4 linked regions of the Macaca mulatta genome follow. The protein of the gene in region 1 interacts with the protein of each later gene in a biochemical or structural test. Links are inferred from orthologs where the notes say so. Each region holds a gene or a part of one and is shown in the gene's direction. Other genes may lie near its edges.

Region 1 (8,250 bases):
CACCATTACAACTATCCCCGCATCCTTCTCTACTAACTACATAGATCTTCTTGTGGTTCCTCTAACACATCGTGCTCCCTGTAGACACTTGGCCTTTACACAAACCCCTTCCCAGTGGAAAGTGCTCAATGCCTGGGGGTCTACGATGCTTCTCAAAGGTGTTCTCTTCTCCTGTGTCTGACCTATAGAAAATCTCCCCATATATTTGTGTAACATATAAACTGATGGCCTGAATATACTGCGAAGAGAAGCAGAACAAAGGTAAATTTAATAATCTTCATTAAAACAGCTACCATTTCTTGAGCCTACCGTGCATCACCTCATCTAATCTTCACAATAAGCCCAGTAGATAGGTCTGATGAACCCCATTTTACAGGGAAGAAACAGGTTCTGAGAGGTAAGATCCTCAGCCAAGAGCATATTGTAGTAAGAAACAAGGACTTCAAACACAAGTCTGACTCCAGAGTCAGTTCTCTAAAAACAGTATGTTATACTCTGTCCATAGAACATTGGCTTCTGGGCCTGAAATATTAAAAACTAAAACTGAATGAAGTAATATAGTCACCAAGTTGTACTCACTCGTTTCCGTCGCTGTGAAGGGGCCTATTTTCTTCAACTAAAAACAGTAATAGCTCTCACTTACTGAGGGCTTACCGTAAGACAGTGTTTAGAGATTTACTTATATAGATGTTTTCACTTATATCCGCATGATACCCCACTGAAGTCAGATCATCTCGACTTAACAGGAAAAACTGAAGCTTAAGTAAATTTTTCTGGCGAGGAAATACAGTCTATCAAATTGGGTACTGGAAGCAGCTTTCCCCGCTCGCAGTCCGGGGATCGCTCAGGGTCTTCAAGGCCACCGCCACAAAGGTGACACTCTCATAGTTATCCCGACTGTTTCCCTGAAGACGCAGGCCTGGTCTGGCTGGGCACGAGTGCCATCAATGGGGCTCAGGACAGTGGCTTCCTTTTCGGTCCGCCGTCCTCGCTCCCTCCTCAACAACTGAGGGCTCATTACCCCCGTGAGGACATATCCAATAATTAGGAGCCTTCGACCCATTTTCTCAGGTTCCCCAATTCCCCTTCGCCCGAAAGTTCTAAAAATATTTTCTTACCCAGTCCCGCCGCAGCTGGTCTCAAGTCCATCCGAGACAAGCCAATCTCGTAATGTTTACTTCCGGCTTTTCGCCTCATTCCGGCGGCCACTGCGGTAACTTCCGGACGATCGGCACATGCGCACTAATTTCCTGGTGGGACGCGGGAGGAGTGGAGGCCTTTGGTCCTCTTGCGCCGTGGGAATCGCGAGAACTCTAGCTGTGCTTATCGCGCTATTTACCCGGCTTGTGGAGAGATTCAAGTTGGGCGGGTTCTTTTAGCTTCTATTTAGGAACTTTCTTTTAGAATCGGAGAATTTTAGGAAGTTAAAAAAAAAAAAACCAAAACAGACAAGAGCTTAAGCCTCACCAGGGGGCTGTGAAATGAATGCAGAATTTGGTGATGTATCAGCTTAAAAAAAAAAAAAAAGGCAGTTAAACTTGGCAGTAACTAGTAGCCAGGCTGTGTAACATGCTGGGGATCTGGTGAACACAGTGTCTTCCCTCAAATTTACATCAGAGTGCGAAAGACACCGAAACAACTATTCAGGTAATTTAGCAGTTGTAAAAGTTGCTATGAAAGGAATACCGGGTGCTGTAAGAACATAAGGCACGTTATCATTAGGAAAAAACACGACGATTTCCATTTTGGAGAAACATTAGTATCTATGCTATCCCATCCCTTCTTTAAAAGTATACATGTGAAATAAAATACTGGAAAATAAACTAATTTTCGTAGTAGAATTTCTTGTGATTTTTTTTTCTTTGTGCTTTCTATTCTGGTTGTTCTCCCCCTCCCCCCCCATAACGTGTATCGTTTTTGAATGTAAAAGTTAAAATAGCTACCATTCCTGCCTCAATAAAATAGCCCAACATAATAGAATCTATTTTTTTCGTATTAACAATTTGCAATACCTGGAGTTTAGGAGCATAAATATTAATTCTGCTTTTACAGGGCAGTAGATGAAGAAACAGAGACTGGCGTGAAAGTGAGTAGAGTCTATAAATCACTCAGGCTTTGTTTTTTTCCACTTAAAAACATTCCTGAAATTTGCTTAGGAGTGTTAAGGTCTAATTAGCCAAAACCACCAGGAGAGCACATCTCGAAGAAGAATCAGAAAGCCCAGGACAAGAGAGTTGAATCTTTTCTAAGACTTGAGGTCCCTCTGGAGGATTCTGAGGAAGGTCTAGGAAAGCCGGGATTGGTTCTGGATGGGTTGCTGTTTGTAAAGCAGGATTAGGAGAAACTGATTAGGGACTAAGTGCTGTTATGAGTGAGGGTGGTTTAGCAATTGAGTATTTTCAGTAATAGTAATAGCAAAGCTGGTCTGAGGGCATCATTAGTAAGAAAACAGTGGTTATTCAAAGAGAGGGTGGTTATGGTTTACAGCTGATGCATGGCCTTGGGAGAAACAATGCTTTCTGTTGGTGAAACAAAGAAGACATCCTAAGGAGATAAACCTTGCACCCCAAAACTTCTGTAGATAGAGAATCCCCACTTCGAAGCTATAGGTGTTGTAAAGATTTAGTCTCAAAAATTAACACTTTGAGTGCTGATAATATAATATGATGATGTAAAATTTAGGAGATACAGGAGGAAATAAGGGGTGGGAATAAAGGAAAGAGAGCAGTGAAGGGACAATAAAGGTATGCATATTTTTATGTCTTTCCTCTTTTCTTCACCTTAAGTTAGGCTCTTTTCTTCTTGATACCTAGTATAAAGTCCACCATTTAATAGGTATTCAATAAATATTTGTGAATGAATGAATCATTCAATCAATATTGGTCCTGAAATGCCAGGGAAGAAGAGATGATGAACTGGCATATATTGAGAACCATGTCTATGTCAGGTATAGTGTTAAGCCTTTTGTGAAAGAGTAATATGGAATCAACTCCTCTCTCTCAGCTGATCTGCAGGTATAAAATGTATATATGGTGACCTGTGGGAAGCCGAGTTTGAATGACACAGGTCAGCCCTATCTTTTGAATGTATACCTTTATCTTGTGGTTGTTCAGTGTATTCCATTTTACTATAGAAACAGGAAAAGGTCGTCAACTTTTTCAAGCAAAATTTCTTTTCATATCTGGGAAACTGGAATTCCTTTTTTATATCTTTATTATCTCTCTGATGTTCTCTTGCTCCCTGGCCAAGCTCTTCCAGACAGCTTTGGTTAGTGTATTATTGAGATCTTAGAGGTTTAAAATAAATCAGTATTAAATGATAGGATTTTAAGGGAAGACTAAATTATGTATTCATTAGAATCATAATTTTGTTCCTAAAACAGATTCGTGATGGTATAACAGAAACAGCATCTTAGCCTGAAGTATTGAGGATAATCCTCAGATTAGGGAATGATTAGTTCGTTCTTAATCATAAGCATAAGAGAATGACTCAAACGCTGCTGTTTGATCTATCTGTACTTAAATTTCTTCTTAATTTTAAATTTTTCTCTCCTAGTATTCTTTAGACCCAACGTTGGTTGTTTCGACCATTTCTACAATATTTCTATTTATTTTCCATCCTTTCTACGGTGCCATTTAAATAAATATATCTTAAAGCAATAAAACATTGTTATTGAGTCAGTACCACAGTCCATGCAGCTTAATAATATGGAGAGCAAAAAAAAAGCCTCTCAATTTTTTTTTAAAATATTACACGACCCTAGATTTTTTTCCCCAGAAAACGTGCCACAAAGTTTGCAAGAAAGAGCTTTTGGGGCGGAGTCCTGGCTGCTTAGGTCCCTTCCATTGGTTCGGCTTGGTGACCACGCCCCCGACCCCGCCTCTTGAGCGGAAGAGCCAATTGGGCCGCGAGTTGTGGTTTAAACCGGGAGTGCGCCGCGTCCGTTCACCGCCGCCTTAGACGAATGTAGCTGTTGGAAGCTGCGTGAGTGAACTGGAGGGTTGCGGCTGGTTAGGTGAGCGTGGTCGGGTGGGGAAGGAGGCGGGCTGGGGCTGGGCTGGGGCTGAAGCTGGGGCTGGGGCTGGGGTTGGGGGACTGCCTGGGGCGTAGATGGCTCCGAGCCTGTTTGAGCGCGGTCTCGGACTGCGAACTGGACCCACGGCAATTCTCTGAAGAGTGCCAGCCCCAAACCGCCTGCTCCTTGGGACCTTAGAGCCTCTGACTCAGGCTGGAAGATTTGAGAGCTGGATTAAGTACTTGTTGGCTCACGCCCGTGACTGTCCCGCTGTTTAGCTCTTGTTTTTGTGTGGACATCCCTAGGATAAAAACTTTGGTATGTTGCTATACCTTTGCTTCTCCCACCTTCCCCAGTATCTAATATGTATTTCTCATTTTTAGAATAATCCAGAATGGCTACTCTAATCTATGTTGATAAGGAAAATGGAGAACCAGGCACCCGTGTGGCTGCTAAGGATGGGCTGAAGTTGGGGTCTGGACCTTGTAAGTACACAAGGCTGCAGTCGGATACACTGCTATTGTGTACGTGGCCTGGAGCTGGACGAGACATTTAGTGTACTTTTTGGGCAAATGGAGTCAAGTCTGTTATTGGTCCTTTTTCATTTTCAGTATCTTAATGAGATGATTTATGGGAGTACTGAATCTCAGCTATTAGGCCTATCGTAGCCATACCACTACCAATAATGGGGGGTGGGTTTGGGGGTGAGAGTTAGGTCAAGTTTACATACACAGTATTCAAGTTGTACAGGTATTTTGCTGCTGGAATATTCTTATAGTAAGACTTTTTCTTCAGCAATCAAAGCCTTAGATGGGAGATCTCAAGTTTCAACACCACGTTTTGGCAAAACGTTCGATGCTCCACCAGCCTTACCTAAAGCTACAAGAAAGGCTTTGGGAACCGTCAACAGAGCTACAGAAAAGTCTGTAAAGACCAAGGGACCCCTCAAACAAAAACAGCCAAACTTTTCTGCCAAAAAGGTAAGTGTTGGCTATAAAGACACTGTTTAAACACTTAAGCGCTTTTGACTCTTAAAATGACGATTGGCATCATCCTACCCAGCTTTCTTCCCTCTGAGTAGAAGGGAGATAGAGGTTAGCAAGCAGAGTAGTGGAGGAAACTCAGATTGTCCTTGTGGACCTCTTGGTGCCTTGAGATTGGAAATCTCAGATGCAGCTAATGCATATTTGTCCCTCACCTGTCCTTAACTAGTGTCTTAAAACTGGTTGGTGGTATCTACTTACAGATACGTACTGAGCGAGAGGGTGCCTTAAGAGGTTCTGTTGCTGCTATAATAGCACAGGTGTTGCCATTCTCCGCCTAGCCTTCCAGGGCAAGCAGCAGCTTGTTAGGTGACAATTTGCTAGCATGTTGATGTTTGTGTGAGTGTGGGTCACAAGCTACAGGTCTGTGTATCCCAGACTGAGAGCACTTTGCTGTGAAAGATGACGTTAGCATGAGGATTAACACTTTATTTGAATAACTGTTTTGTTTAATTTGCATTAGGAAACAACTGGTGAATTACATGTAGTGCAACTTAGGACAAGGATGTCTTTTTAAAAAAGTGAATTAACTTAAAAATATTAAATACAGGAATTGCAAAGATATGGCAAAAACAATGAGACACAGAACCGAAGTGTGGGAACCCCATAGGGAGTTCTAGGCATGCTTATGTGAGGTGAGATAAATCAGGAATATGCCGGCTTCCATTGTAGCACCCTTCTGTAGTAGACTGTAGTAGACCCGTCAACTCCAGACTAGGAGATTGCCCATGGCGTTTTTCTAAAGTCCTTGACAGTGTCTTGCTGCCTCTTACTCAGTGTATTTGAGGAACACAAACTTGTTTTTAATATTAACCAAGTACATAATTAGGTAACACTTGCAGAAAAATCACACTCCTATAAGCCAAAAATGGCTTTGATGATTAGCTACTATCCTGGGTGATTCATGCCCGTTTTCTCCTCTGTTAGGTTGAATAATTGCGTTGATTAGCTCTGAATTAACTCTGCATTCTTGATAACTTACGCTGACAGGTGCTGGTACTTACATTTCAGATTTTAACTTTTGAGTCATGCTACTCGAATTACATTTGAATCATATTATTTGAAGTATATTTAGGTGTAATTATGAAAACTAAGGATTATGGCTTCTTAGAAGGCAGCATGAAATTGACAAATTTAAAAACTAATCAGCTAATAAGACATCCACTCTCACTAACCCATATTTTCTTTGGCTGTTCTAGATGACTGAGAAGACTGTTAAAACAAAAAGTTCTGTTCCTGCCTCAGACGATGCCTATCCAGAAATAGAAAAATTCTTTCCCTTCAATCCTCTAGGTAGTATCTTTTGTAATTGCAAAAAGTGCTTTTGGCCTTTAGTTTCTTAGTATTCAGCTCAGCTGTAACTTGATATGAATATAATATATGACCAAAAACTATAATGAGACTGTCTGAATCTGGGTCGTTTTGGACAAATGTACTTGTTGATGGAATTATTTGCAAGGTATCATCTTAGATCAGGAGGGGAATAGGAACAAAGATACAGAAGACATTGTTCCTGTCTGTAAAAGCTTATCACCTAGAGGAGGTAAGATGTATTCATGAATATTGAATAAGTCCCATTGTGGACAGTCTTTCTCACAAGCCTTTTAGAAAGTGAGCTTTATGTCAATGCCTGAGAGTGCTTTGGTAGGATTATTTCTTTGGTTAGAAAAATCTACATAAGACAGTGAAGACGTGTTTTTCAAATTTCTTCAACCTGCTACATGTATCTGAAGTATTTTCTGTTTTGGAAACAGCTTTTCAAGCTTTAATTTACTCAGCCATTTGAGGAGAAGCCACTGTGTGTCAGGCATCGCTAGGTGCTGGACACACTGTTTAACAAGATGGGCCCTGCCTATGGGAGCCCACAATTTGAAGGGAAAGTCAGATGCTGGACAAGCCATCTCACTGTGAGTGTGAGCCGGAAAAAAGAGCATTGTAGGTCAAAGTGGTGCAAAGATCCTGAGGTAGGAAAAGGGACTGAAGTGGTTCTAGGAAAAATACAGGCACGGTGAAGGAGGATACAGGTGAGGTGTGGGGGCAGATCAGGGAGGGCCTTACAGATTTCTGAGCTGGATCTTTTACCCTTTTATTTAGCCAAAGAGGTCATGTAGTTATTCTTTTACTAATTTGCATTCAGATTGTTCTGGCTTTTAGAAACTAGAAACATTTCTACGATTAGTATTCTTGAAATGATCTCGTTGCAAGTTTGTGAGTACATCAGGAGGGAAACTGAGAAGGATTGCTGGGTTCGAGGGTTTGTGTGATTAAGTTTTAAAATTATAAAATGTGGTGCATCGTGCTAATAATTATCATTCAGCCATTGGGAAAAATGAGGTAGATTTATGCATATTGATCAAGAATGAAGACCACAGTATCCTGTGTTAGAGGAAAGAGATATTGCTAAGTGGCCCTTCAAAATAGTGTAAATTGTTAAATCCATCTACAGTGGATGAAGATGGCTGCTTCCTCCATGTTCACTATCAATGTTTTAAAACTCTAATCTTTATCAGAAAAGAAATATTTTATTGTTTTAAATTTGTGTGGTGAGCATATTTGATTATTGGCCACTTAGTTTTTCTTTTATTAACTTCCTGTTTGTGTTTTTCTTTGATTAAAGAGCTCTTTGTAGATAAAATTAGCTCCCCTTAGATTGCAGACTTCTTTCCTCTGGAGTCTTTTGTCTGTTTATGATTTCCTTTACAATTCAGTAGTTTTAAGCTAAATAGTCACATATCATTCAATTCTTTCTTGACTTCTGGGTTTTACCAGGCTTGAAAAAGAGCAGACTAATTCTTGAGTACTTAGGCTTTAGAGAACTTTCATACCTAAGGACAAAGATTTAGAAATTAAAACTGAAAAACTTAAGATATTCACTAAGTAATCACATTACATTAATGTAAATTTTTTTTAACATAAAATATTTGTTTTGGAAAAGTTTTGAGAAGAATGGCATGGTTTCTATTTTTGAAAAATATATGAAGAAAACCTGACCTCACACAGATATGTTTTTAATAGTCTTTTCAGATAAGCGTGGATAGTTTTCTTTGCCACTACACTAAAACCCACAAGTGGCTGTTTCTGAATATATAATTGCAATGTGGAATCTGAAAGCATATCAATGAGCATTTTGTATCTTGACAGTAAAATCCATCGGTCTGTTTTGCACTTGGAGTGTATCTTTTATTCTTGCAT
Region 2 (7,331 bases), on another chromosome or scaffold:
TTTTTCAGTCTTCATTCTGTCCCAAATGGACAGTAGAATTTTCCAAAAGCTACATAATATGTGATATCAAAACAGATTAAATGGAGGAGATAGATGTGAGAATCTAGCTGTCTTCTACTAACAGAGACTTGCAGAAATGTTAATGCCACTCTTCTCAATGACTTTTTGTTGTTCTGAAAAATTATATAGTTATTTTTCATTAAAAAATAAATCACTGGGCCAGGCACGGTGGCTCACGCTTGTAATCCCAGCACTTTGGGAAGCTGAGGCGGGCAGATTACTTGGGTCAGGAGTTCAAGACCAGCCTGGCTGACATGGTGAAACCCCGTCTCTACTGAAAATACACAAATTAGCTGGGTGTGGTGGTGCATGCCTGTGATCCCAGTTACTCGGGAGGCTGAGGCAGGAGAATTGCTTGAATCTGAGAAGCAGATTGCAGTAAGCAGAGATTGTACCACTGCACTCCAGCCTGGGCGACAGCGAGACTCCTTCTCAATAAATAAAAATAAATAGATAGATAGATAGATGACCAAAAGCAAGGATTGTCACCACCTGCATATTTCACAAAGAGGGGTGTGTGTGTGTGTGTGTCTGTGTGTGTGTGTGTTTTCAGTGTACTAGAGTGCCTGCTATTTCTTAGTACTTACTTTAAGTATGCGTTTTATTTTCACAACAATAAGAACTAATACAATAAGGAAGTATATTGATTAAGATTTAGTTAGCTTTTATGAAGGTGATTTGGGAAATCAAATAAAAAAATTGCTTGGTCAAAACTTTAAAAATTTTTGATACTTTAAGGTTTTTCTTTGCCTTTTTCAGTCTGCTTTACAAGAACTTGAAGAATTGAAACAAATTGTTCCCAAAGAATCCCTCGTTTACTTCTTAATAGGAAAGGTAAAGACTGGGGCCGTGGTCCCAAACAGTGACTTTCACAGCAAATATTGACATTTTATAAGAATAAATTTAATACTTACTGTACAATATCTATTGAGCAAATTCAACTAAAGCTCCAAACTGAGTGCTCTGGGAATAACAGATTTGGTTCTAACACTTGAGAAAATGATATCCTAGCTGGGCACGGTGCCTCACGCCTGTAATCCCAGCACTTTGGGAGGCCTAGGCAGGTGGATTACCTGAGTCAGGAGTTTAAGACCAGCCTGACCAACATGGTGAAACCCGACCTCTACTAAAAATACAAAAATTAGCTGGGCGTAGTGACTCATGCCTGTGATCACAGCTACTCCGGATGCTGAGGCACGAGAATCACTTGAACCCGGGAGCGGAGGTTGCCGTGAGCCAAGATCACGCTGCTGCACTCCAGCCTGGGCAAGAGAACAAGATTCTGTCTCAGAAACAAAAAAAAAAGAGAAAGAAGAAGAAGAACATGAATGGCACTGTGTTGTCTTGATTAAGAGAAATGGCTTCTGAGAGTCCCAAGGCCAGACTAGTCAGTTTTTTACAGACTAGACCCCCATATGCCAATTAGTTAAGGTGCCTGTAGACAGTTGTTAAGAGTTGATATAACTCAATTTAAAATCACTGTAAATGAAAGTTAATTAAGCAATTTATAATCCATTTAATCCCATTATCATTGTTCCAGTCAGAGTGATATTTATTGGAAACTTACTACCTGAAAGATAGAAGCAAGGAATTCTGAAAATAATATCTGATTATATGAAAAGGAACTCAAAAGCTGGTATGAGTTCATCTGTAGGAAGAAAATGTCCTACCGTTAGAATAAGTTTAGATCACATAAATCAGGAGCCTAGTTTAAATTATAAATATTTAGAACTGTAGAGACTGGGCACTGTGGCTCACGCCTGTAATCCCAGCACTCTTTGGGAGGCTGAGGCAGGTGGATCACCTGAGGTCAGGAGTTTGAGACTAGCCTGGCTAACATGGCAAAACCCTGTCTCTACTTATAAATACAAAAATTAGCCAGGAGCAGTGGCGGGCACCTGTAGTCCCAATTACTCAGGAGACTAAAGCAGGAGAATTGCTTGAACCTGGGAGGCAGAGGTTGCAGTGAGCCAAGATCGCGCCATTGCACTCTAGCCTGGGCAATAGAGCAAGACTCCATCTCAAAAATAAATAAATATATAAATATTTAGAATTTTATAGTTGAAGCTCACAACTTAATGAAAAATGTAGTATTGCTGTTTATTTTTAGGTTTACAAGAAGTTAGGTCAAACGCACCTCGCCCTGATGAATTTCTCTTGGGCTATGGATTTAGATCCTAAAGGAGCCAATAACCAGATTAAAGAGGCAATTGATAAGCGCTATCTTCCAGATGATGAGGAGCCAATAACCCAAGAAGAACAGATCAGTAAGTATCACACATATGATTTTGAGTATTTAGAAAGTTACCTTTTGCATAAGGATTTGTAGGCTACTCCTTTATTTTATTTTTCTAACCGTGGTGTTACCAAATGAACTTTTAGGGAAATTGAACAGGGTGATATAATAACAAAATGCATATAAAGTCAGATAATTAGTCTCTGTTCTGGATCTAGTTTGCTGTGTGACTTTGATAAATTCATTGCTAATTTTTACCTGGGCCTCAATTTATGTTTGAATATGTAACCAGTAGTGTTTTATTTGCTTCCTAAGAATGTAGTCTTTTAAATAAGAGAATAGAGAAATTTCTGACAAGGTAAATTCTGATTAGATGCCTTTGTTCCAGAAAACTTGGTGAAAACCTTTAATTAAAATTATAAGCCACGGGGCCAGGCACAGTGACTCAGGCCTGTAATTCCAGCACTTTGGGAGGCGGAGGTGGGTGTATCACCTGAGGTCAGGAGATCGACACCAGCTGACCAACATGGTAAAACCCCATCTCTACTAAAAATACAAAAGTTAGCTGGGCATGGTGGCAGGCACCTGTAATCCCAGCTACTCGGGAGGCTGAGACAGGAGAATCGCTTGAACCCAGGAGGCTGAAGTTGCAGTGAGCTGAAGTCATGCCATTGCACTCCAACCTGGATAACAAGAATGAAACTCTGTCTCAAAAAAAAAAAAAATTATAAGCCAGGCATGATGGCTTGTGTATGTAATCCCAGCTACTCAGGAGGCTGAGGTGGGAGGATTGCTTGAGCCTAGGATTTCACGACGAGCCAGTGAGACCCTGCTTCTAAACAAATTTTTTAAATTAGCTGGATGTGGTGGTATGCATCTATAGTCCCAGCTACTTGGGAGACTGAGGCAGGAGAATCATACCACTTGAGCCCAGGAGTTTGAGGCTGCAGTGAGCTATGATTGTGCCACTTCACTCCAGCCTAGGTGACAGACCGAGATAGATGATTGATTGATTAATAGATAGATAGATAGATAGACCCCATAAACCTTTTGAAACTGAAGGTTATAGTCTATGTTTCTGTGGACTAGCAGGAAGTATTCTTAAAGTGGAGTCAGTGATTGGAGGTTGGGGAAATGTCAATTTTTTTTTTTTTTAATGTCTCAGAGAACTAGCTAGTTGTAATTCCTAGGGCAGGAATAAGGAACCCATTAGGGAGAGGCAGTTTTGGTAGTTAAAACCTTAAAAGTAAAATGCAGTAAGCTAATGTCAGACCTATTACAAAGTTAGGAAACTTGAGTTGCATTTTATTAAAGGATATGAGGATTTTTAAGGGCCTTTATTTAGGGTTTTATCTCTCTGAATATAATACAATTTTTCTTGTTTTCGTGAACCAACAGGATATGTTTGTCAGAAACCTTACTGTAGACTTTTGTTTTATTTTTAAAGTGGGAACAGATGAATCCCAGGAGAGCAGCATGACAGATGCGGATGACACACAACTTCATGCAGCTGAAAGTGATGAATTTTAACTTCTGGAAATCGGACTTTTACAACTGGATGTGTGACTAGTGCTGACATGTTTCTTGTCCCTCCATATACTGAGTCTTTACTCTTGAGCCGGCGGTGTCATCATCCATCACTTATACCATGAGTGTGCCACTTTCATTGGACCCTGACTGTATACGGAATGAAAGGCAGTGCAATATTTAGCTGCTAACAAGACTGGCTCTTTTACCAGTATGAATGACAATTTATGGGGGGTAGGGTGGGGACTTTCTTTTCTGTTTTTCTTTAATCTCCCTTTGTTGGAAAGTATCATGAAAGGAAGAGTTATGTTTTATCTTGAAGGAACCATTAGATATGGAAAATAGTGATGAACCAGAATTTCTTGGTTGCTTTCTCAAAAATTTGTTTTTATTTGGTTCTGTTCCTGATAAACAGAGTAACTGACCGTCATTTCTAGGTTCTTCAAGAATGGTGTTTGCAAGTGCCAGATGGAACAATAAAAGACGTTGCCTATAACAGTAACTTGATTGCCAAGGAATGTAAATTACCTTCAACTTGCAGTGTCTCCCATAAACAAATGTAATGGGCATATTGGGATTCGTATGTAGGAATCAAATATCCCTCCATACAGTGTACACTTATTCTTGGCAAGAATGCTTTAATGTCTAACCAAGAATTTTAATTTATTCATCTTGCTTCAAAGTGTTGATCATTGTTGTCTTGGTATTGCAGACTTTAAAATTGGTTCATACCATATTGCCTCTTCTCTTTGAGCTCTGTGGGATCACCTTTAACATTCAGAGATGATAGAGTGGTTCCCCACTGAGAAGCCAAAACAAGGCCCTTAATAATCCCTTAAGTTCACCATATCAATCAGAATGAGAACACTAAAGTGTAGAGACTTTAAGAGATCATGATAGTGAAAGCCTTAATATAATCAGAATTGTACCATAACCTTGAATCTATATTTGTTCAAAACATTATCCCTTTGACTTTTCTAAGTGTTTGCTTAAGCAGAGTGTAAGAATGTGCGGTTATCTTTGGTTGAGATCCTTTCCATTCTTTTTGACTCTCTGCTTCAGATTTTTTCAGTAGTGTGAGTCACCAAAACATTTACTAAGAATTGGGTTTAGGATATTGGAAATTTTTAGCTTGGGGGAAGAAACATTCTTAAGAAGGAGATAGGTTCTCTTCTGAGTTTGTCATAATATCAGTTGGTGTCTTTGGGAAATGGCCACAATTTTAAGAATTTAATTATGCATATAAATTGATAATTATTGGAATTCCACCATAACAGATTTAAACAGTCTTAAATTGTTTATCTCCTTTATTGTAATGTATTGAAATTTTAGAGAAACTTTAGTTGTTAACATTTTATTAAGTGCCAATGTCAGAATATAACAAATTATAGTTTCTTATGAATGACAGGCCTACAGTTATTATTTTGGATTATTTGATGAAGGACAACCTTACCTGTATTTGTTAGTCAAGCTGTGAAAATAAGGTGGATTACAAAAGATGTGAAAAAAATTTTAGCCTGTAGACTCAGTAATTTTCTATAATTTACTGTTAATCTCATTTGAATATGGATTAGGTACAATTATAAATTAATTCAAGTCAGGGTGTTTAGGTATCAGGTGCCAGAGAAATATTTAACAGATTTCCCTACCTAAATTTATGTATATGTACTGTCTAAAAAAATACTTTTTAAAAAAAAGGAACAGTTGGGAGAAAATAAATGTAATGAAAAATTCCCAGAGGCTAGCACTTGGATTCTAACACATATGCTATTGTATTATCCATTAGTTCTGTAATATGTAATTTTAGATTCTTTTATATTTTTAATTGGCAAAGCACAAGGTGCTGTGTAACAGTGTCATTTAGAGTTTTATAGAAAGCTTCAACCTGAGTTCTGCGTTATAAAGCCTGGAGAAAGCTAAGCTTAGAACATAATTTGCTGAAGTATAATTATCTTTTTATAGTAGGAATTTATGTCCTGTGCCAGAGGTGAGAGTCTTTCTGGTACTGATTTTTTGAGACCAAGGATAAAAGGATCGTTTTGTAAGACACGCCATGGCAATGGCTGGCTGGGGAACAGTTTCCGCCCAAGCTTGGCCTATTTTATTTTTCCTCATACCTACTTTTAAAGTCATTAGGTATCTGAAGCCTTATTTCCCACCTTGTAACACTTTCTGGCTTTTACAGTTTCTTTTTTTGTTTTGTTTTTTGCATGGAATGGGGATCAAACAACCAGAAGAAGAACACATTTTGATCAAGCAAAATGTTTGTTTCAAACATCAGAAGTTTATTTTACAGAAATTAAATTAAGTAGTTTGACATCCTTTTCTCTGTTTCACACATATATTAGGTTGGTGCATAAGTAATTGTGGTTTTTGCCATGACTTTTATGGCAAAACCTGCAGTTACTTTTGCACCAACCTAATACATATATATGCACACACACTTGTTCAGAAGCTATGCTGTGGCCTTGGATTTGTTTTTCCCCTTGGAAATGGTTCTTAACTCTGGGATTTTAGAAGGTTAGAATATTTTTTCAAGAGAACAGTGGTACTCAAAATAATGAAAGGTGGTCCCTACATTTTCTGTATTCATCACTTAAAATTTTTGATTTTTCCAAGAACTACAAGTAACATTTGAACCATGCTGCTGTTGTACCTTAAACAAAAACTCAGTGATAACCAGTATTTAGTCTATTAAAAATGCTCTTTTTGAAGAAAAAAGTTTGGAAGTCTCTGATTAGCCAGAGTATAGTATGAGTCTTCACTGAGAAATATGGTGACCCATTTTCTTTGTGAAAACCTGGGAAAATGCAAGTGTGGGTGTGAAGTGTGTGTTCTGTTTGCATTGAAACAATGTAATTTTGTGTCTTCTTTTTGCTTTAACTGACTTATTTCAGAAATTGTACAGTCTTGAGGGGGAAAGTCTTTTCTGTTAATATATTTGCAATTCATTAAAGGATATGGAAAATCCAAATAAGTTACTTTTGAAAGCAATTTATAATCAAGTTGTTAAAGCTATATGAAAGCTGTGCCATCTGTATTTTCATAAGAAGGCACAGAAAAATAGAGATACAATTTTATGTTTCACAAAAATCTAGAGCAATGTTTATCTAATTTTTTAAAACTTACACTCTTTTAATATATTTATATTTTTAAACGGTCATACTCTTTTTTAGTATTATTTGGAATATCAAAATAAATACTATGACAAAAACAATGGTAATTTTTAGAATACCTTTTTTCAAACTACAGAAGCCCTGTTGCCAACCAGCAGCTGTGAATTTGCAAGTCAACTGCTTATCCTTTGATCACATGATTTCTGAAATTTCTTCAAAAGGGACACAAAGGTTTTTTGTTCCAATTAGAATCTATTTAAAAAGGTCAGGATCTGAAAGAAGATGTAGAAACTGAATTTTACTCTAATTTGAAAATCTTTTTTTTTTTTTTTTTTTTTTTTTTTGGTATCTTGGAGAAAGTACAGAGAGCTGAAGGGTTTTATTCAGACTTG
Region 3 (8,225 bases), on another chromosome or scaffold:
GTGAGTGTTGCAGCTGTTGGGCCTGAAGTGACTTCTCTGAGGGGCCCAGAGCCTGTGGAGGGACCAAGGGAAGGGCAGCATGAGGGCAGCACAGGGTACAGTGTCTCCTGCTGGGCTTGGCGTGCCCCCTGACCCCCACAGGATGAGGCAAGTGGGGATCAGCACCTGCCCGGGCAGCCAGATCTGGGGCTGTTTACAACCCTCTGAACCCAAGCCCCGTTTCCTCCCTGGAGAACCAAACCATAGAGCAAAGCGCTGCTGTCTGGCCAGACTCCGGTGGGAGAGTTTGGTGTATTTCCCTGGTTGGGGGGTGGGCCCAGCTCTTTTCTGGACCCTCTGGATCAACACACGCTTCCCAAATAGGCCCAGTCCTCAGGCAGTGCTTGGTTGCTGCAGGGACAGAACAGAGGCCCCAGGGCACGCAGAAGGATGGAGGTGGCCAGTGCTTGGCATGCGGCCAGGGAAAGGGGCAGCAGGGCCTGGTGGCAGCAGTGGTGTCATCAGGCCAAGCAGGACTTGCAAGGAGGAACTGGTGGGGGTAGGGGGTGTGAAGCCCCCCAGTCCTTGCTGAGAGAGACCTGAGTCTGAGGCAGCTGCTAGATATGCTTGGCATCCCTAGCTGTCTCTCTGGGCTGGGTCCTATGCTGGACACCAGGGTGTGGCAGAGAACAGGACGAGCGAGCAGAGCTGAGAGGAGGGTGAGCCGTGGGCCAGTCAGGGGAAGAGGACCAGCGGCCCTGCTGGGGAGGGCCGAGGGTGGCGCTGGCCTGGGCAGGGTGGGCACCCTCAGCGGTGTCCCTGAGGCTAGTTGGGCAGTCATAGGGAGACCACTCCAGACGCCTCCTCCCTCCTTTCCCAAGGGGGAGCCTCAGGCTCTGGCTCTGCGGGTGTCTGGCAGCCCCACACTGTTGACACGGGCAAGCAGCAGGCTGGCACGGACCTTTACAAAGATAATCTTTATTGATAATCACAGGCCACAGGGGTGAGCCCTGAGGTTTGGGTTCTGGGGTGAAGGAGAACCCCTGTCCCCTGCCCTGGGCCTCTGCTGGCTGAGGAGGGACAAGCTGAGGGGGCCCCCATGGTGCTCAGACAACCAGGGCCTCCCCAGCAGGGCAGGAGTGTGGGTGCCACAGAGACAGGCCCTTTGCAGAGCTGACCTGGAACCCACCATCCCCACAGCCCGTGTGAGCACGAAGCCCCTGGGTGGGCTGTGCCCTGGCTTGTCAATGATGCCAGTAGAGGCTGGCAGCCGCCCCTCTCGGCACCGGGGACAGTGAGGGAAGGCAGCTGCTGCTGTGAAGAACAAAGACGCTCTGAGGACAGACTTGTCGGGGCTGAGCTGAGGGGCGCACAGAGGCAGGCCCTGCCCGTGGTCTGGTCAGCTGTCCCTGCCACCGCTACTTTTCTGGTCTGAGGCTGTAGCCTTGGTCAGGTTCCCAGCTTCCCTCTTGAGGACGCTGAGCAAAGTCTGGGAGCTCTCCAGAATCTGGGGCCAGAGAAGTGAGAAAGTTGTTACTGTTCACCTGCTGGGAAGTTCCTAAGCCCCAGCTGTCCTCACACTCAGGTTCTGGGACCTGGCTGTGGGTGCTGTAGCCAAGGGATCCTGTGCGGGGGAAGGCGGAAGCCCAAGGGGACTGGCAGACGGGGTAACAGGGCCCTCTTCCCTCCTGAATCTGACCCGGAACACTTCCTCCCCACCCTCAAAGCCAGGCTGGGTTAGCACTGGCCCAAGACGTGGCTCTTCACACTCTAAGCAAAAAGAACCACATGGCTAGCGAGAACCGGATGAAGACCAGGACCCAGGATGCCCCAGGTCCCCCAGACAGCCCCACGGTCACTCCCGCAGCAGCCTGGGTTCCTCAATGGGCCTGGCCACGCTGCTCCTGCCCGACATGCCAGCGAGGCACAGACTGCCCACAGCTGGGAGCCCCAGACGGTCCTGACGCCCTGCCGCGGCTACACCCCTGCCGCGGCTATCCCCTGATGCTCCGCCTGGCCTCCCGAGCTCCACCTTGAGGTAGGCGGCCTCCGTCTCCGCGATGGTCCGGTCGAACTCGTTGCGAGAGGCAATCTTGCGTGCCAGGTTCTCGTTGACGCGGGCCAGCTTCTCCGTCAGCTGCCTCACCTCATTCTGCAGCCGCTGCTTCTCGTCCTCCTCCTCCTGGATCTGCCGGCACAGCTCTTCCCGCTTCTGGCACAGCTCCTCTATGCCTGGGGGGCCGGGAGGGGCGGGGCTGTGGGCCCAGGGCAGGAGCGCGGCGGCGGAGGGCGGGCCTCCTTCCACCCGAGGAAGCCAGAGTCAGGCACCACCCCCGAGCACCCGGCGCGGGGCCTGCGAGCCAACGAGGGCTCGGGGCCACGGACACCCAGCCCCCGGCACGGAGGGCTCTGCTCAGCTGCGCGATGCCCGCAACTAGGCGGGTCCAGGGGCACCCCGCTGCGAGCCGGGAACCCGGCCCTGCGGCCCTCCCGACCTCCCCGTCCCGGCTGCGCCGCTCACACTTGACCAGCTCGTTGTTGTAGTTCTGCAGCGCCGCGCCCTGCTGGGTCATGGTCTACGCCGCCCGGGGCCCCGCCACCCCAACCGACGCGGAACCAGCGCTGTCCGCGCCTGCGCACGACTCCCTGACGGCGCGCCGAACTACGCGTCATCGCTGAGCGCCTTGTGCGCGTCATGGCTGCGCGTGCAGACTTGCGTCATCGCTTTGCGCCGTGCCGAGGGGATCTCGGAGCCGGTGGCTGCAGATGGCGGCGGCAGTTGTGGTGGCGGAGGGGGACAGCGACTCCCGGCCCGGACAGGAGTTGTTAGTGGCCTGGAATACCGTGAGCACCGGCCTGGTGCCGCCAGCTGCGCTGGGGCTGGTGAGGCCTGGGAAGAGAGCGGCGGCCCCGCGCGGAGTTTCCGGGACCCTATGCACTTTGGGGCGGCCACCTTCGGGTTCATACAGCTCTGTCCGTCATCCGCCTCTGGCCTGTCCTGCCGCTTTCCACCGCCATTCCACTTCATTTCGTTCAGCTCCGCTGGCAGCCCTTCCCTAGTTTCGGCCCAACGTCCGGACACCACGGACAGGGGGCAGCGGAGTTTTTGCAGCCTACCCCTCAGCTTCTTCCCTTCCCCGCCTCTCCCCACCTCTATGTTGTGTTCCCCTCGCTTCACGGTTTTCTGCGCTCCAGGTGTCTTCCCGGACCAGCGGTGCAGTCCCGCCAAAGGAAGAGGAGCTCCGGGCGGCGGTGGAGGTTCTGAGGGGCCACGGCCTGCACTCGGTCCTGGAGGAGTGGTTCGTAGAGGTGCTGCAGAACGATCTGCAGGCCAACATCTCCCCTGAGTTCTGGAATGCCATCTCCCAATGCGAGAACTCTACGGATGAGCCCCAGTGCCTTCTGCTGCTCCTTGACGCTTTTGGCCTGCTGGAGAGCCGCCTGGATCCCTACCTGCGTAGCCTAGAGCTGCTGGAGAAATGGACTCGCCTGGGCTTGCTGATGGGCACTGGTGCTCAGGGGCTGCGAGAAAAAGTCCACACTATGTTGCGCGGAGTCTTGTTCTTTAGTACCCCCAGAACCTTCCAAGAGATGATCCAGCGTCTGTATGGGTGCTTCTTGAGAGTCTATATGCAGAGTAAGAGGAAGGGGGAAGGGGGCACAGACCCGGAACTGGAGGGGGAGCTGGACAGCCGGTATGCCCGTCGCCGGTACTACCGGCTCCTGCAGAGCCCGCTGTGCGCAGGGTGCAGCAGTGACAAGCAACAGTGCTGGTGTCGCCAGGCTCTGGAGCAGTTCCATCAGCTCAGCCAGGTCTTGTGAGTAGTCTGTCCTGATGGCCGTGCTCTCGCTCCTACTGGTTGCTCCCCTGGGTCCAGCTGGCCTCTGCAGAAAGCTGGTGAGCCGTCCTGATAACCAGGAACATGACAGAGAGAGAGTCCCTGGGGTTCCTGTGCAGTGTGTCCTGGACACAGGTGTCTCTCTTCTGTCACTCACCTGCAGTCCCACGGATTCATGCCTTGCCCGTGGTAAGGCCCTATGTGGCTTTTGTCTGCAGCAGCAAATTTCTTAGCGACTCCAAACTTTCTGAACTCTGCAGAATTCCACTGTGACTTTTGTCGACCCTGAGGCAAGGAATGATTCTCACCCTCGTCGACATTCCTTGCCCCGTAATTGTGAACAGAAGCCTGCTGCTGCTTCTCTCCAGGGAGATCAGGTCACTGTGAGGGCAAGTGGTCTCCTGTCTGGTTCTCTGGAGAGGAGAGGGTTTTGTTGTGAGAGACAGGTCCTGTTGTAGTCCTCTAGCAATTGTCACACCCTCGGCCATTTGTGGTGGCTTTGTCACATTGAACAGAGGTATGGCCACGCAGCTATTTGAGAGGTCTTAGGTGGACTAAAGGAGTGGTCCTGTTGCTGGCAGAGGTCAGGGTGACCATGAGGGGCTTCTGTTGGGCTCATCCCAGCAAAAGTTACACAGCAACCTTTCTCATTCTCCTCTGGAGTCTTTTTGCCACTGTAGACCACAGACTGCACTGAAAGGCACAAACAGTGGCATCTGTGTCTCTGGGGCCAGGGCAGCGGTGCAACTGGGTGTCGTTTCAGAGTTGATCCTAGGAGATAAGGGTAGGGCCCCTGACAGCCACACCTGCTGCCACTGATCACATGGGGAAGTCCAGTGTCCCTACCTGGACAGAGGCCAGCTGGGTGGGGACAGCAGAGCCTGGGAGTGCTCTGTGCTCCGAGTGGCTTCTTGAAGCCTTTGGTACCAGCGCTCCAGGCCAACCAGGCAAGGAGAGTGGCTCTGTGCTGTCCTGGCCTTTCCCCTGACAAGGAACAGACACTCCCCAGGGCTGTTCAGTGGAGAATGTGTTGGATTGAGGACCTTGACATGGCTGCCTGGAAATTCCTCAGGGGTCGCAGAGGCCCTGGTTCGGGGCTGGCAGGCACAGTGGCCCCCACAGCTGAGGATTGTGGGGAGGTGCGTGCTGGTTGTGGGGGTGTGCGTGTGTGTGCTGCATGCACTCTACAGGCAGGACCGTCCTGGCATGGGGCTGTTCTGGGCTAGAGGGGCCGGTGTGTGCTGTGGGTGCCCCATGGCTAGGACTCTCCTCTAGACACAGGCTCAGTCTGCTGGAGCGGGTCAGTGCCGAGGCTGTGACCACCACCCTACACCAGGTGACCCGGGAGAGGATGGAGGACCGTTGCCGAGGCGAGTACGAGCGCTCCTTCCTGCGTGAGTTCCACAAGGTGAGGGCCCCTCCTTTGGGCTGTGCCCCGCTGGGGACAGGGGAGTAGGTTTCTGGCCAACCTGACACCTGGCTTTGGAAGCATCCAGAGCGTGGAGGCCTGGGTTGGCCTGGACCGGGTGGTGGCTGGAGCTGTTTTGATGTCGGGTAGAGACCAGTACTTCTGGGCCCTGGTGACAGCGAGGACACGTCTGAGGTGCGCTCACCAGATCTGCTCAGAATCCCATGGCTGCAGTCAATACCGGGCCAGGGTCCCCAGGGGCTGCCCCAGGCAGGTGTGACGAAGCCAGGCCCACCAGAAGGGCCAGTGAATGGACCCCCTTCTCCTGTTTGCTGCCCTACTTGAGTGTGGACTTGCTTGGCCGGTCCCTCATGGACTGACCTACAGCCGGCCTGCACCACAGCGGGGGCGAGACACCCTCACATGGGGCCTCCAGGCCTCTGCACTGTTGGGGTGTGGTCTGGGGCTCTGCTCTGGGCTCCCAGGGCCATAGGGGAGCTGGGCCCACCCCTGTGGGTCCCCCTACCCTGTTCCCACATGTCACCTGTCCTTTCCTCAGTGCTTCGGAGTCCACCTACTGAGGTGCAGATTGGCTGTGATGTCAGGCTTTCAGAGAGAGAGGGCGTCCCCGCAGCGGTGGGCAAGAGTGGGCAGTCGGGTGGAGAGGGTGAACATCTGTGCGGTCTTGTTACTGGGTAGCAGGTCTGTGGGATGTGTGCACGCCTGGGACCCCGCGGTGGAATTGCCGTCTAGGGGTTTGTGCTCACTCAGAGACGCTCTTGCGATGTACGGTGTCATCTGCATGGCGGGGGAGTGGGGGCTGGTCACATGTTTGGTCTCAAGAGCGTGTTTATCCATTTAAGTGGGGGCAAATGTGCCCGCCAGGCACAGCGCACAGGCCATGTGTGTCCATCACGTCTTATGCTAGGGCTGCTGTTGCCAGTGATAAGTGTGGGCACTGGTGCGTGTGAGAGGCATGAAGACCAGAGGGGGGCCGGGACATTGCCTTTTGGGCCATCACCCACCCTGCAGGTTTTGATGTGCTTCCGCCTCCAGACACAGGTGGCCTTCGGGCTCCCCTTGGTCCTGGCCGACACAGTGGGTGGCTGCGAGGCTCCTCCCAGCCTGTGAGTCAGCCTGGGGCTCACCGTGCCTTCCTACAGCTCACGCTAGCGTTCTCCCGACAGTGGATCGAGCGGGTGGTCGGCTGGCTCGGCAAGGTGTTCCTGCAGGACGGCCCCGCCAGGCCTGCGTCTCCTGAGGCTGGCAACACCCTGCGCCGCTGGCGCTGCCACGTGCAGAGGTTCTTCTACCGCATCTACGCCAGCCTGCGCATCGAGGAGCTCTTCAGCATCATCCGAGGTTGTCCCGCCCCGGCCTCGGGTCCTCTCTCCTGTCTGGGGAGCCTTCCCAGGGCCTTCGCCGCGTCTCCTCTGTGTCTGCGTCTGGGCTCCCCGTGCCTTCGCTGTCGCTCTTGCAGGGGGGTGCACCGGGCAGGGCTGGGACCCTCCCCACCGTGGGTGTCCCCTATGCCTGGATCAGGGCAGGTGTGGCAGATGCTGGACGGTGCTTCTAGGTGTCCACTGCTATGCTCCCTTGTTCTTGGCTCTTGCTGGGGACTGGCCCCTGGGTGTTGCTCTGTCCACCCTGTGGCATTGTGGTCAAATGCATCAGCACGCCGAAGTGTCCGGGGGGACGTCTGGTGCCTAGCAGGTGGTCTCATCATCTTCCTGGGGCTGGCGAGCGCATGTCCTCTCACACACTGCACACACCCTGCACCAGCCCGCACGTGCACACACATCTGTGTTCGTCCCTGAGGGATGTTCCTCTTCTTGTAGACTTTCCAGACTCCCGGCCGGCCATCGAGGACCTCAAGTACTGCCTGGAGAGGACAGACCAGAGGCAGCAGCTGCTCGTGTCCCTCAAGGCTGCCCTGGAGACTCGGCTCCTGCATCCAGGTGCCGTGTGCTGCCTGGCTGCCCAGCGCTCGGGGCTTAGACACTCACCAGGGTGCCCATGTCCAGGGAGCCTGGGGCCCAGTCTGCTAGCCCTGGACTTGTAGGTCTAAGGAAGGAATGGGTGGAGAAGCAGTTGGCGAGGTCCTTAGGGGATCTCGAGTGCCCATCAGCTTGCTTGTTTCTTCTTTGAAGGGAGTCGGGACTGACTGGTAGGTCTGAGGTGATGAGACTTAATTCTCTCAGAACAGACCACCCTGCAGGGCAGGGCCTGTGAGCAGGTAGAGATGGGGATGGGGGGACAAGGGAACAAGGCTGCAGTGGGGACCTGTAGACCACCTGACCGGCATGGCCAGCTGTCTACTCGGGCGTTGGCCCCTGGGAGGCTGTGGTCCCGGGCACTGCATGACTGCTGGCCTCTGCCCTGTCTCTAGGCGTCAACACGTGTGACATCATCACCCTCTACATCTCTGCCATCAAGGCGCTGCGTGTGCTGGACCCTTCCATGGTCATCCTGGAGGTCGCCTGTGAGCCCATCCGCCGCTACCTGAGGTGAGGGCCGCGCCGGCCTGGGAGCCACTGGGACCCCCGGCATCCTGCTGAGCTCCTCGTGGTCCTGGGGGCAGCCAGAGGGTGTGCTCAGCCCTCAGGACACAAGGTCTCCCCCAGCTGGGGAGTGCACAGGATCAGGCCCAGGGCTCTTTCCTTTCCTCTTGCCGGTGCTGGGCACCTGTCCTTGTCACACGGTGTCACTGTGCCCTCTGTGTGCAGCTGCCAGAGGCCCACCGCAGCCCTTCCTCTGCCTCCTCCTCCCCAGTGCAGAGAGAATCTCTTCCACTTGGCCTCGCCTTGGTGCTGACCAGCCCCCCCGGCTGACCAGGCAAGGAGAGTGGGCTCTGTGCTGTCCCAGCCTTTCCTACAACAAGGAACAGACACTGCCCGGGGTTGTTCGGTGGAGAATGTGCTGGAATGAGGACCTTGACGTGGCCTCCTGGAAATTCCTCAGGGCCGGCAGGCACTGCAGACCCCAGAAGCCGAGCGGTA
Region 4 (7,201 bases), on another chromosome or scaffold:
CTGAGTACCTGGGATCACAGGCGTGCGCCACTACACTCGGTTAATTCTGTATTTTTCAGTAAAGACGGGGTTTCTCATGTTAGGCTGGTCTCAAACTGTCAACCTCAGGTGATTCACCTGCTTCAGCCTCCCAAAGTGATGGGATTACAGGCATGAGCCACTGCACCCCCCCAACATTTTCATTGTCATTTCATGAAGAAAAGTTGATAGAAAAAAAGCCAGGTGGTTGGGACTCATGTTTGTATAAAGATCCTGCACAGACTTGATAGCATGAAACTCAGCTGTGAAATACGTGGGATTAAAAAGGGATTAGAGGCCAGGCGGGCGGCCTACACCTGTCATTCCAGCATTGTGGGAGGCCAAGGTGGGCGGATCACAAGGTCAAGAGATCGAGGCCGGCACGGTGGCTCACGCCTGTCATCCCAGCACTGTGGGAGGCCGAAGCAGGCAGATCACAGGGTCAAGAGCTCGAGGCAGGGTGTGGTGGCCTACACCTGTCATCCCAGCACTGTGGGAGGCTGAGGGAGGCAGATCTCAAGGTCAGGAGACCATCCTGGCCAACATGGTGAAATGCCATCTCTACTAAAAATACAAAAATTAGCTGGGCATGTGGCGCGTGCCTGTAATCCCAGCTACTGGGGAGGATGAGGCCGGAGAATCGCTTCAGTCTGGGAGACGGAGGTTGCCATGAGCCAAGAGCAAGACTCCGTCTCAAAAAAAAAAAAAAAAAAGATTAGTTTAAACTTTTTATTTGAAAATTCTCAAAATTGAATGGTATAAGCTAGGTGCAGTGGCTCACGCCTATAATCCCAACACTTTGGGAGGCCAAGGCAGGCGGATTGCTTCAGGCCAGGAGTTCGAGACCAGCCTGGCCAACATGGCAAAACCCTGTCTCTACTAAAAATAAAAAAAAATTAGCCAGGCATGGTGGCAGGCGCCTGTAATCCCAGCACTTTGGGAGGCCAAGGTGGACGGATCACCTGAGGTCAGGAATTTGAGACCAGCCTGGCCAACATGATAAAACCTCGTCTCTACTAAAAATACAAAAAAGTAGCCGAGCATGGTGGCGCATGCCTGTAATCCCAGCTCCTCAGGAGGCTGAGGCAAGAGAATCGCTTGAACTTAGGAGGTGGAGGTTGTGGTGAGCCAAGATCGCACCATTGCACTCCAGCCTGGGCAACAAGAGTGAAACTCCGTCTCAAAAAAAAAAAAAAAAAAAGTTTGATTACATTTAGGTTGAAAGCAGAGTTTTGTATCAGCAAAATGGTTTTTCATGAGACCAAAATGAACGTAAAGCAGAAGCAAGGGTCAAGGTTTTGCCCAGGGAGGACAAGAAGAACTCCCCCGAGGACAGTGGGCAATGGAGAGGACAGCGGGGAATGGGGAGGACCGAGAAGCTCCCTACTATCCCAAGTAACCAGGCGTATTTTTGTGGGGCCAGGTATATGCCCATATTGATTGACAGGGTCTCACTATGTTGCCCAAGCTGGACTTGAACTTCAGCAATCTCACTGCCTCAGCCTTGCAAGTAGCATACCACCACACTCATCTGGCTTTGCTTTTTTTTTTCTTCTTTTTTTGAGATAGAGTCTTGCCCTGTTGCCCAGGCTGGAGTACAGTGGCACCATCTCAGCTCACCGCAACACCCACCCTTCTGAGTTCAAGGGATTCTCCAGCCTCAGCCTCCCAAGTAGCTGGAATTACAGGCGCACACCACCACAGCCAGCTAATTTGTTATATTTTTAGCAGAGATAAGGTTTTACCACGTTGGCCAGGCTGGTCTCAAACTCCTGACCTCAGGTGATCCGTCCACCTCGGCCTCCCAAAGTACTGGGATTACAGGTGTGAGCCACTGCGCCCACCCCTGTCTTTGCTTCTTTTTTTTTTTTTGAGACGGAGTCTCGCTCTGCCGCCCAGGCTGGAGTGCAGTGGCGCGATCTCGGCTCACTGCAAGTTCCGCCTCCCGGGTTCCCGCCATTCTCCTGCCTCAGCCTCCCGAGTAGCTGGGACTACAGGCGCCCGCCACTGCACCCGGCTAATTTTTTGTATTTTTAGTAGAGACGGGGTTTCACTGTGGTCTCGATCTCCTGACCTTGTGATCCGCCCGCCTCGGCCTCCCAAAGTGCTGGGATTACAGGCTTGAGCCACCGCGCCCACCCCTGTCTTTGCTTCTTTAGGTGAAGTTGAAATGACTGAATCTTAGTACAATTTTTTTTTTTTTTTGAGACAAGGTCTTGCTCTGTCACCCAGGCAGCAGTGCAGTGGCAAAATCATAGCTCACTGTAGCCTTCAATTCCTGGGCTCAAGTGATTCTCCCACCTCAGCCTCTCAAGTAGCTGGGACTGTAGGCAGGCTCCACAATGCCTGGCTAATTTGTTTTTTAATTTTTTGTAGAGACAGGGTTTTGCTGTGTTGCCAAGGCTAGTCTTGAACTCCTGGGCTCAAGGGATCTGCCTGCCTTGGCCTAGCAAAGTGCCGGGATTACAGACGTGAGCCACCATGCCTGAACAAAACTATATAAATTTTTATTTTTATTTTTATTTTTTTTTTGTGTGGAAATGGAGTCTCACTGTATTTCCCAGGCTGGTCTCAAACTCTTGACTCTGTCCTGCCACAGCCTCCCAGAGTGCTGGGATTATAGGGGTGGTGCCTGGCCAGTACAAATACTTGTTATTCTAGGCTTAACTTTTACATTGGCTCTAGCTAAACAGAAATCTTATTATTCAGGAATTAATCCTCATTTAATCAAATGGGTAGGGTGTAATATTAGGAAATTATTGATTGACTCTGCCTGATTGGATTTGTACTTAATAGCTAATTAGGTTAATAACTAGGCATTCACAAGGCATGGTTTTATTTGATCCCTTTTAAATTGCTCTTAAGGATGTAACAAAGACAGCACGGGGTGCTCTGAGGGCAGTCACTCAACTTCTGGAGCAGCAGGTTAACTTCTGAAATTCCTCCAAACCATGTGTCCACGCCTAGTCTGGCTGCATCTGTGGGCCAGATGTGGGTGGTGAATCCTGTGGATTAGAGGCGGCACTAGGCAGCCCCCGACTGACTGCAGTGGAGGGTCCACAGGCAGCCTGCAGAGCCCGGCCTGCACCATGCCAGCTGGGCCTGTGATGGGACATCCAGAGGGGTGCTACCCTGAACTCTCAGCATCTCTCCACTGGCACAGTGCGCTCAGACTTTGTTAAAATGGGGCCTGTTGGCTGCACACTAAGGAGTTGAGAGTCTGATTTTTGGACCTGCTGATGGTTAAGTTATAGTGAGTCAGTGTTAACGTGCAAAGCGTTTGACAAGTCTAATGTGCTTCTGGGCTAAGCAGCACCAGGTTTCTTTTGCTAAAATTGAACTCCTTTGAAAAATTCAGAGTGGCTAAGTTCAACAAAGACCGTGGGAGCCCGAGGCTGGTAAACAGTGAGTCTATCCCGCATCCCAGAGGACTCTTGTGGCAATGCAGTTTTGCGGAGAGGAGTTTTAATTTAAAGAAATGCAATCAGGAGATCAGCAGGTCCTTGAATGAGTCAGCCTCAGTGCATCTGCGGACTCATCAGACACCCCAGGCCAGCTTCGGGTGGGGAACGCACGAGAACCAAGCGGCACCTTTGTCTAACGGGGCCTCTCCTGCGCACTCAGACCCTCTCCTCAGGGGGCTCGCAGGCTTCGCTCTCATTTGAAAGGGGTGATTTCAAGCAGAGTTGTGCTGAGGCTAGAAAGCCCCCATGGGCAGGTCCTCCCAGGGCTGGGAGTGGGCATGCTGTGGGGCCGGTGCCGCCAGGACAGGAGGGCGGCCACGAGCTCCAGCTCCACAATGCCAGACCGACCCTGCCACGGGGCTGGGGCTGGGACTTGCTGTGCTTTGCTGGCAGCAGCTGTTTCATGGGGTTTTCCAGGCTCTTGGAGATCAGGGACACTTGTTTCTCTTGATCATGGCTTATATGAGTATCCCTCTCTGTCAGGCCCTCTCCATGGAGAAAGCATTTCTAGGTGTTTGGGCTGGTGCCCGCAGCCTGTGCCTGTCCTGGGAGGCAGGGCCCATCAACATGGCGTCCCCAGTGCCTGGGCGGCACCCCGGATTCCTGAAGTCTAGGGAAGGGTCTTCTAGGTCCCCAAGCCCCACCCCTCATGCCCTTGATCAAGAGACCAGTTCACTACTCAGATGTGTGTCTCCTTGGTGCCTTGACCATTCATGTGACCTTTTTGGCATCACAGATCAAGTGTCTGCAGGTGGGCTCAGGGCCTGTAGGTCAGACGTTGCCCTTTTTCCCCAGCCTCAAGCACGGGACAGTGGTCTAGACCAGAGTGCCTCCTCCCGGATGCTGCCTCCTCAGCAGGGTCCCTGGGCTCCCCGCTGAGCATGATGAGCCTGAGCCTGGGCGTGGTTGCCTGGGGTGGAGGCCTCATGTCTGGCATAGTTGCTGGTCTTCGCCTGGGGGCAGGCTGGTCAGGAGACCGATTGGGTAACTCTCCTGATTTCGGCTTCTGTGAAACATGAGAGGCTGCAGGGCTGGAGCCACTGCCCAGGGTCCCAACCTGCACCCCTGCCTGGCTTGTCACATGCTCTGTGTCCAGCCTGGTCATGCCTGTCCTTTTCCCCGCCTCCCCTCTGTAGGCAAGGTGCCTGGCGACGACTGCCCGCTGGTGTGGGGCCAGTGCTCCCACTGCTTCCACATGCACTGCATCCTCAAGTGGCTGCACGCGCAGCAGGTGCAGCAGCACTGCCCCATGTGTCGCCAGGAATGGAAGTTCAAGGAGTGAGGCCCGGCCTGGCCCTCGCTGGAGGGGGTGTCCCGCGGCCCCTTCCTCATGCTGGCGCTGATGGCTGCGGTAGCTGCTGCTGGGGACAGCGCCCCTGGGCTGTAACAAGGTGGAAACAAGGGCTGGAGCTGCGTTTGTTTTCCCATCACTATGTTGACACTTTTATCCAATAAGTAAAAACTCATTAAACTACTCAAATCTTGCTGGAGGCCGCTGGGTGCCTGTGTTCTCAGCATATTGATGCGGTCTCGGTGTGTTTTGATATGAAAACTCTCATGAATAAACATCTTCGTGAAACGCTGTCAAGGCACTCATCAAACCCTGAGTCACAGCTGGGAGGAGAAGGAGCGGGATCAGACGGTAGGGCCTGAGGCATGCTCTTGCCTGCTGGATGGCCGGGCGGCCCTGGACCCTCCCTCGGGCTGGCTCTGAGGGACTCTGGCTGTGCACAGCTGGCAGCTGCTGCTTGTGGTACCCCCAGACTGAAGGCCACCATCTCTAAGCAGGCGTCCGTGTTCTCACTGGGACTGTCTGCAGCTCCTCGGTGGAGCTGGGCCTCCCACAGTGTAGGGATCGGTGTCCTGACACTGGGAAGTGTGTCCACACATGTCTGAGGCTTCCCTGCCTACGAAAGGGTGGCCCTGGGAGGCTCCTGTGCTCCCCACAATTGTGGGAAGGGGCCACTGGGGGAGCGGCAGCCCTGGGGTCTCAGGCTGCTTCTGGACAGAGCGCAGGCTGTATCTCTAGTAACCTGGGGAGCCCTTGGCATTCATGGGGCCAATGTCCTGTGCCCAGTGTGAGCCTGTTGACACTTCCTTCCTCACAGCACCCTGGGGAGTAGACCAGGCCTCCCCTGAAATCTGTGTCAGATTCCCTGGAGAGACAGGACTCTCTATATGAAGAGTGTATATGAAGAGTTTATTGGGAGCATTGACTCACTATCACAAGATGAAGTCGCACAATAAGCCATCTGCAAGATGAGGAGCAAGGAAGCCAGTCTGAGTCCCAAAACAGAAGTAGAGAAGCCCACGGCTGTGGCCAAAGGGCAGAGAGCCCCCGGCAAGCCACTGGTGTGGGTCCAAGAGTCCGAAAGCTGAAGAACTTGGAGTCTGATGTTCGAGGGCAGGAAGCATCCAGCACGGGAGAGAGATGGAGGCCGCACTCAGCCAGTCTGGTCTCTCCACGTTCCTCTGCCTGCTTGTCCTCTGGCTGTGCTGACAGCTGATTAGGTGGTGCCCACCTGGATTGAGGGTGGGTCTGCCTCTCCCAGCCACTGACTCAAATGGGAATCTCCTCTGGCAACACCCTCGCGGACACACCAGGGACAATACTTTGCATCCTTCGATCCCATCAAAATAACCCTCAGTATTCACCATCACACCTGGGAAGCACGGAACCCAGAAACAAGTACCAGGGCCCCAGTGCCAGTGCCTGTCCTGGCGAGATATCCAAAAGAAGACGTGACCAGGACCTTGGGGGAGCATGAAATGGTGAGGGCACAGTGAGCCTGAAGGCGGATGTCACCTGCCAAGAGAGCGGCTGGCAGTCCTGCCTGGTGCCCTTCCAGGGGCAGAGCTGGCAGAGAGGGGCCTCCAGGAATCGTGGAGCCCCAGTGCCTTGGTGTGGCTTTCCTGAGGTCAGTGCCTGACCTTGCCCCGCTCCCAGAGCACCCCGTCAGTAGCAGCCCTGCTGGTGGAACCTTCCCCGAAGGGCATGAAAGAAATGAGGGCCCCACAAGCCACAAGGACTCTGATGCCTGGAGCCAAGAATACCCCTCAGGGTGGGAAAAACCGCCCCCTGGGCACTGTGCAGTGTGGCTGGCTCTCCCGCCTCAGGAGTACTGGGGACTTCCTGGGGGACGACTCCTAGCGCTGAGCGCCCGTGGGCCCTCCCCTGCTCCCACTGAGGCCCACGCAGGCCGGGCCTGAAGGACGCGAGCGGCGTGGGTGGGGAGCTTGAGGGGGCGTCGGGCTCCGACCAAGCGGCAGATCCCCGCGCGCCTCGGGCGCTCACCCGTGCGGCTGGTTCCTCTGGGCTGCGCAGGTGCGACGGGTCCTCCGCGCGCGCCGGCTGCACCCCCAGCCCGCCCGCCGCCCCTCCCGGCCCCCCGCAGCCTCGGCCCGCCCCCGCCGCAGATATAAGGCGGCCCAGGCGGTGGCTGCTCCGAGCCCCGACGCCGCCGCCCGCCCGCCCGCGTCCCCATGGCCCGGCCCGCGACACTGGCAGCCGCCGCCCTGGCGCTGTGCCTGCTGCTAGCGCCGCCCGGCCTCGCGTGGTACAAGCCGGCGGCGGGGCGCAGCTCCTACTCCGTGGGCCGCGCCGCGGGGCTGCTGTCCGGCTTCCGCAGGTCCCCGTACGCGCGGCGCTCCCAGCCCCACAGAGGGGCGGAACCCCCGGGCCGGGCCGGCGCCTCCCCGGAGCTGCAGCTGCACCCCAG

Evidence for each region.
Region 2: the proteins of PTTG1 (region 1) and CDC27 form a complex in vitro, tested with the Homo sapiens proteins (3 studies listed by BioGRID). The link is inferred for Macaca mulatta from reciprocal best matches to the Homo sapiens genes PTTG1 and CDC27.
Region 3: the proteins of PTTG1 (region 1) and ANAPC2 form a complex in vitro, tested with the Homo sapiens proteins (2 studies listed by BioGRID, with this or other methods). The link is inferred for Macaca mulatta from reciprocal best matches to the Homo sapiens genes PTTG1 and ANAPC2.
Region 4: of the proteins of PTTG1 (region 1) and ANAPC11, one has a biochemical effect on the other in vitro, tested with the Homo sapiens proteins (3 studies listed by BioGRID). The link is inferred for Macaca mulatta from reciprocal best matches to the Homo sapiens genes PTTG1 and ANAPC11.

The regions. Positions count from the first base shown.
Region 1 is NC_133411.1:169,275,784-169,284,033, forward strand, and holds the start of PTTG1 (securin), read left to right. Parts: upstream 1-3,947; 5' UTR 3,948-4,015; intron 4,016-4,398; 5' UTR 4,399-4,409; coding exon 4,410-4,500; intron 4,501-4,810; coding exon 4,811-4,995; intron 4,996-6,257; coding exon 6,258-6,351; intron 6,352-8,250. UniProt on the Homo sapiens protein: Regulatory protein, which plays a central role in chromosome stability, in the p53/TP53 pathway, and DNA repair. Probably acts by blocking the action of key proteins.
Region 2 is NC_133421.1:71,403,048-71,410,378, reverse strand, and holds the end of CDC27 (cell division cycle protein 27 homolog), read left to right. Parts: intron 1-819; coding exon 820-894; intron 895-2,151; coding exon of another isoform or gene 2,152-2,170; coding exon 2,171-2,327; intron 2,328-3,743; coding exon 3,744-3,826; 3' UTR 3,827-4,181; downstream 4,182-7,331. UniProt on the Homo sapiens protein: Component of the anaphase promoting complex/cyclosome (APC/C), a cell cycle-regulated E3 ubiquitin ligase that controls progression through mitosis and the G1 phase of the cell cycle.
Region 3 is NC_133420.1:5,264,631-5,272,855, forward strand, and holds the start of ANAPC2 (anaphase-promoting complex subunit 2), read left to right. Parts: upstream 1-2,727; 5' UTR 2,728-2,745; coding exon 2,746-2,862; intron 2,863-3,174; coding exon 3,175-3,797; intron 3,798-5,093; coding exon 5,094-5,226; intron 5,227-6,413; coding exon 6,414-6,588; intron 6,589-7,064; coding exon 7,065-7,184; intron 7,185-7,615; coding exon 7,616-7,733; intron 7,734-8,225. Other genes in the region: microtubule nucleation factor SSNA1, read right to left, coding at 1,379-1,486, 2,012-2,211, 2,501-2,552. UniProt on the Homo sapiens protein: Together with the RING-H2 protein ANAPC11, constitutes the catalytic component of the anaphase promoting complex/cyclosome (APC/C), a cell cycle-regulated E3 ubiquitin ligase that controls progression through mitosis and the G1 phase of the cell cycle.
Region 4 is NC_133421.1:91,558,529-91,565,729, forward strand, and holds the end of ANAPC11 (anaphase-promoting complex subunit 11), read left to right. Parts: intron 1-224; exon of another isoform or gene 225-414; intron 415-494; exon of another isoform or gene 495-733; intron 734-4,618; coding exon 4,619-4,764; 3' UTR 4,765-4,897; downstream 4,898-7,201. Other genes in the region: NPB (neuropeptide B precursor), read left to right, coding at 6,966-7,201. UniProt on the Homo sapiens protein: Together with the cullin protein ANAPC2, constitutes the catalytic component of the anaphase promoting complex/cyclosome (APC/C), a cell cycle-regulated E3 ubiquitin ligase that controls progression through mitosis and the G1 phase of the cell cycle.